Linked DNA regions of Neurospora crassa OR74A. The protein of the gene in region 2 interacts with the protein of the main gene of each other region in a pairwise test. Links are inferred from orthologs where the notes say so. Each region holds a gene or a part of one and is shown on either strand. Other genes may lie near its edges.

Region 1 (3,311 bases), on a different chromosome or scaffold from region 2:
ACATTGTAAGTTACCAGTCTACTGCAGGAACATTACATAGATGCTTTAGATAATGCAGTATTTGAGTACTGGTTACCCCCTCTCTGGTCATCCAACACAGGAATTAACATCTCCAAAGATACCGCCAAGTGATACACCTTGCTTCCACTTCCTGACCGTACCCAGACTGAAGGCCGGAAAAGGGACATCGGAATCCCCACATCCCCTTTGAGCCCGAATTCGAAGGAAGACGGAAACGTGTTTGGCCTTGTTTCCAGTGACTATACAAACTCCAGGGCCTTGTTTTCTCATATTCATCCTTTGTGATGTTTCATGTCATTTGCCTTACCCGAAGCAAACTGACAGGGTCGAGCCCTTTTTCGAGTAGAGCGAAAAGGGATTCATGACGAATATTGTACTGCTGAGTACTGGGCAAACAACGTATACTTGGAAACACGCCTCCGTCACGCAAGAGAAGGGGACGGAAGAAAGATCAGGCGTGGAACCCAATCTAGCGTAGTTGGTTAAGACACACGTCCGGAAAGCCTTTCAGTTCCCGGTAAATGATATGTCCAAATTCATATCTTATCAAGACTCCGACGCCTGCCTGGATTATAACACATGCGATTTCCCTGTAATAGATGGTATATGACGCCTTCTCCGTGGACGGATTTGTCCCGCGATTTCTATTCGACTATGCCCCATGATGTTTGACCTCCAAACCCAGTTTCCCTCGTCATCATTCCGTACCACCTCTACTCAATATTTTAGTTGGCAAGGATGGTCCGGACAAGCTCTGTTTGCGTCGTACACATATTGTTAGTCGAGACTCCTAGGTTTCACGCAAAGGGCAAGCAAACAGCAAGTGCTGAGGCTGACATACCGGTATAGTTCACCTGGCCGGAGCTAGTATCAACGGCCTTGAGGAGCTCGTCTACCTCCTCGTCCGTCATCTTCTCGCCAAGGTTTGTCAAGATGTACTTGAGCTGTCCAACGCCGATGAAACCCGTCATGTCCTTATCAAACACCTGGAAACCGCGGCAGTACTCTTCGGGCTCGCCGGGATCACGGAAGCCACCTGGCCGGTTGAGGACGCGCTGGAAGGTCTCGAAGTCGACTGTCGGATGAGAAGGGCATCTGTTAGTAACTAATCTCAGATGAACTACTTGTTTCCGCTCGGGTATTACTCACAATCACCACCAACGTTCTTCTCGAGCTCGCGGATCTCGGCGAGCGTGGGGTTCTGGCCGCAAGCGCGGAGCAGGTCACCCAAGCTGTCGAGGGCAACACGGCCGTTGCCGCGCTTGTCGAACAGGGAGAACGCCTCCTTGTAGTTGGTAGAAGCCTGACCGTCGAACTGGTTAGATGCCATGATTCCTGAGTTGCGCTGTCGCAATGAAATGTTCTTTCAAGAATGCGGGTATGTAGTAAATCGCGGTAGGTTGAGCGTAAGCAAAAGCGCTGGCTTTGCGATCGTGCTAGAGTCGGCAATCGAGAGGACGAGGGCGATGGTTGCGAGAACAAGGCGCAGAAACCCAAGCGGCAAGGGAGCAGCGATGCGATCGAAAGTTGGCAAAATGAATGGTGTTTTTTTGGTCTGTGATGGATGGATGCCGAAGCAGGACCTGGCAGCTCAACGCTCAAGCCGGGCGCAGGCGCAGGCGCATTTTACAGGTAGTGCTCCGATTCAACGCAGAACGCTGCGGCTTCCAAGGTTGTGGCACCTTGTGCCTTTGTTGTCATGGGCAACCGCGGGGTTCCTGGCTCTTGCTTTCGCATGCTTTCTGTTTCCGTGCGTCGGGGTTGGGACTTGGGATGGAGGGATGGAGAGGGGCGCGCGCGCGTGCCAGTGCCCGCGGCGGATGAACAGGGACAGGTCCACTTACCATTGTGTCTCAGGGGGGGGAATGTCGTTTGAATGCGCAAAAGAGGACGCAAGGGCTAGTCGATGCAAGTACGCTGGCTGATGGATTCGATGCGAAAGATGATGCTATTCAGAAGAACGGTCAAGAAGCGAACCAAGGCTAGATGCAAAAGGAGTGGGCGATCGATTTGGGCTTCCCTTCCCGCCGCGAAATGAGCTGCGGACAGGGAGTTGCGCTGACTGGTCTGTGCCATTACGCAGTACCCGACCTTATGCGCCCGCATCCCGGTCGCGGTGGCAGCCAATGGAGGGCAACCACCCACTGGCACTGGTGACAACTCGCGATACAGCAGCACTGCATGCCCGCTAGCTCAATCGAGAGAGACATCTACTGACAGAGAGCACCTTGGTTACGCAAGGGGGCCGGTGATACTGCCCGGATAGCAGGTTCAACGTCAGCCACCACCACTGTACAGTATCGTCTCTTCACCACACTTAATTGTACACTACCTTTCCAGTTCATCGTCTCTTCGCCATCAACAAAACGGTTCCCCAAATAGCATCAACCTCGATTTCGGCCCATCGATCCCCCGCCGCTTTCCATTCCGGCACCGCAGCAACAACCTCGTCAAACATCAAGTCAACAATGTCGCCCTCTCCTCCGTCCGCCCTGCACTTCATCTGGGGATGGGCGCTTCCCCAACCACTGAAGGCACTGAACGTGCGAATATAGCTCGCCAACTCGCCCAACTTGAGCCTCCGACGCAACCAAGTGGCCTCTTCCGGAGCATCGCTAATGTCGCCCGTCTCACGATTGGGATCCCAAGCAATACGGACCACATGTTCCCATTCCCTCTCGGGAGGGACCACCTCCCGCAGTGAATCCCGTAATATGTTCCGGCCGGGTTGTTCCCAAAAGCACATCATGCTTTCCACGCCCGGCACCGGCTCTGTCTCGCCGTAGATGAACCTGTCAAAGATGGGCGTTGTTTCCGGCCGCCCAACGATGATGTGGTCCTTGTAACCCCAGAAAGCCAGGGTTCCGCCGCGCTTCACGACCCGTGCAAGTGCTGGCCAGACCTTGGAGTAGTCAAACCAATGCGCCGCTTGGCCAGCAACCACACAGTCAACGGCATTGTCGTCAAGGAAAGAAAGGTCCTCGGCTCCGCCTTGCTTGAACGTAATCTTGGAGTTGTCGCCGGTTAGCTTGCGAGCCTGTTCAATCATGCCGGCCGAAGGATCAAGGGCGATAACACGGTTGAAATAGGGAGCGAGTGCGCGCGCCACTAAGCCATGTCCGCAGCCAAGGTCTAGCAGTGTTCCAGCTGCCGGCGAAGACGACGATGGTGATGGGGAGGAAGGGGCCTCTTTGCCGTGAAATCTCAACACCCGGTCGTAAAGAACCGAGGGATATGAGGGCCGAAAGGCAGCATACCCAGCAGAGGAGAACGTCGAGCGGCTATCGTGG
Region 2 (2,900 bases):
CTCGACGTTCCCTTCCCTCCTTCCAAACCAGCTCGATTCCAGCTTTCGTTCAGGATTCGAATATGTTACTTAGCAATACCCTATACCGTCACGATTGAGCAAGACGTACACAGATATCCTATGCACCAACACACAACACTCTCCACGATGCCCTTTGTTTCTGTAACAACACCACTTTATATCATATCGTGACCTAGGGTTCCGAACGGCAGGGTTGAAGGTGCCCAACAACTGCGCACACGCTCTGCTACGCTTGCGAACTGCATTTGGCAAAACCTCTGACAGCCCGGTCATATCTTCCTGCGCGCAAAAAAGAAAAAAAAAAAAAAAAGAAAAGAAAAAAGTGAATCGCCGTGACCTCGTGACTTCTGCGGGTACCTTGAGCTTGACGTCTTCCAGATTACCGCTTTGATTCATCATCATCATCATCATTTAGACTCGCAACGACCGCATAACGGCACTTTCACGATAGTATAGCAGCTTTGCACAGTCCCTTCACTACACAACCTAACACACAATACTTTCATCATATACACCAACTAACATACAAAGTTAGCAAACAGCTATATGTACGACAAACGTCTTGAGAGAAACCACCTAATTCCGCCCTTCTCAGCCCCTTCCTAACACACGATCGGCCTTTAAACAACATCAGCTTCTCAGCTTTCTTCAGGACAAGTAAACCAACAGAATTATTCCAGATGTCTAGAGACTGCCCTCTCCACCATACCAACTTAATTACACCCCTTGCACTTTCTTCTCATCACCACCAACAAGTTTTCATCTTCATCCCTATAGACACCTCAAAGCTCAAATAAACCCCTTCGTCAGACTCGGCGCCCTACTAATGCTGCTCTTCCTCTTCGGAATCTCAATCACACCATCCATCTGCATATTATCATTTGTGAACGTCCTCTTGCCCCGGATACTACCCAGCACACTTCCTGCCACGCTGCCGCTGCCGCCGCCGCCGCCGCCCATAGCGGAGCCCTTCTCCATGCGGAGGTTTTTCCACCCTTCGAGCTCGCGCTCCAGCCTCAGGGCCTTTTCTTTTTCCTCGCGCAGCTCACGCTCCGCGCGACGGGCTGACAGCTCATTGGCCGATTCCGAGGATTGCAGCTCGTCAATGGTCTTGAGCAACTTGTCAACCTTGTCACGCATGCGCGTCACGTCTTCTTGGAGTTGCGTGTTCTGCTTGTCCTTGCGGTCGATCTGGGACTGCAGGTCTTTAACGATGCGGTCGACGTTGCGGACGGAACGCTGGGATTTGCTGCGCTCGTTTTCTTGCTCTTCGAGCTGGGATTCAAGCTGGTGATGATGAGTTAGCTGTTGATGCTAAGAAAGCAAGGACTACTCCGTATAAACTTACCTCCTTGATGCGGCTGTGCAAGAATTTGATGTCGTGGCTGGCAGTGGAATAGCCCTTGGTCTCAAGATCAATGAGTTTCATCTGCAGCTCGTTAAAGTTCTTCTCGAGAGTAACCTTTTGCTTCTGCAAATCGGCATTGTTCTCGCGCTCAGCAGCAATGTCCTTCTGGACTTCGGCAGCAAGCGCCTCGGCGCGCCGCATCTTCTCGACGGCAGCCGCAGCGATGTCTTCCTGTTGAGCAAGGCTAGACTTGAGCTCTAGGATCTCCCTGTCCATGTGCGCCGCGTTGCGCAGCGACGGGCTCTCGCTGTTGGCCAGCTCATCGAGACCAGCCTTGGCCTCTTCAAGCCTTGCCTCGATGCTCCTCTTCTCACGGAATAGGGCGTCGCGCTCAGCCGTGATCTCGTCAAGAGACGAGCGGAGCGACCGTACCTGGCCAAGGAGCGTGACAATCTTGCTTTGAGCCTCGTTGTGGGCGCTGACAGCTTCGTCGCGAGAGGCCACCACGTCCGAGAGAGTCGCCTCCAGCCGCGCCTTCTCCTTAGACCACGTCGAGCTGTTGAGGACCTCGTCATCCCACTTGGACCGAAGCTCGTCCAGCTCTTCCCGGAGTCTCGTAATCTCCGACTGCTTGCGTAGCTTCTCCTCGCGGGCCCGATCGAGCTCGTTGGCCAGTGTCGCAAACTCGGCCTGGTACTTCTTGCGCATCTGCTCCATGCTCGATTCCTTATCCTCAATGTCGTTAGCACGCTGGTTGCGGTAATCTTCGAGCTCGTGCTGAAGCCTCTTCTTGGCCTGAGTAACGGCGGCAAGGTCCGTCGACATGTCTTCAATCTTCTCTTCCAACCTTTGGTTCGAGTGTTGCAGATCCTCAATCATTGTATCCAGACGCTTCCTCTCCGACATCATCTCCGCACAGCTGTCCTCCGCTTCCTTGGCTTGCGCTCTAGCGAACGCCTCCGCCCGGTTGGCCTTGAGAACGGCAATCTCTGCCTGTTCAAGTTTGCTGAAGTACTCATCCGCCCGACCTTTATAGAGGTTAAGGCTTGCTGTTACGTCAGCCAGCTTGGACGCCTCAGCATCCAGGCGAATCTGGAGGTCCGCAAACTCTTGGAGTAGTTGGCTCCGGCTTGCAGCCTCCTGATCCCTGGCGAGCGACATCTCTTGGAGATCCGACCTGGCGTCGCGGAGATCGACTTCAAGCTTGGCACGCTCGTGTCGTACCTTGTCATAGTGCTCTTTGAGTTCCGTCAGCTCTGCAACCGCATCCTTGTGGCTGTGCAAGAGTGACCGTCGCGAGTCCTCCTGGCTATTAAGCAAGTCGAGGATTTCTTCATGAGACCTGGTCTGGATGTCACGAAGCGACAGCTCACCGGTGCGAAGAGCCTTCTCCAAAGCCGACACTTTCTTGGAGGAATCATCAAGGAGTTCGTGAAGTCGGTTGTTGGCCTTTTCAAGCTTCTGCACCCGCCGAAGCTGTGGGCTTTCGTCGAGGTATGCGTCTTCTTCACCCGACGCGGTACGCTCCAGC

What was found.
Region 1: the proteins of myo2 (region 2) and NCU06617 interact in binary tests that used the Saccharomyces cerevisiae proteins (3 or more experiments, as listed by UniProt). The link is inferred for Neurospora crassa OR74A from reciprocal best matches to the Saccharomyces cerevisiae genes MYO1 and MLC1.

The regions. Positions count from the first base shown.
Region 1 is NC_026504.1:1,814,914-1,818,224, reverse strand, and holds NCU06617 (myosin regulatory light chain cdc4), read right to left. Parts: upstream 2,000-3,311; 5' UTR 1,869-1,999; coding exon 1,866-1,868; intron 1,325-1,865; coding exon 1,171-1,324; intron 1,097-1,170; coding exon 863-1,096; intron 776-862; coding exon 747-775; 3' UTR 502-746; downstream 1-501. Other genes in the region: NCU06616 (S-adenosylmethionine-dependent methyltransferase), read right to left, coding at 2,363-3,302. UniProt on the Saccharomyces cerevisiae protein: Essential light chain for the class II conventional myosin MYO1. Also acts as light chain for the class V unconventional myosin MYO2 and for IQG1.
Region 2 is NC_026501.1:8,033,539-8,036,438, forward strand, and holds the end of myo2 (myosin type-2 heavy chain 2), read right to left. Parts: coding exon 1,370-2,900; intron 1,309-1,369; coding exon 811-1,308; 3' UTR 502-810; downstream 1-501. UniProt on the Saccharomyces cerevisiae protein: Required for cell division.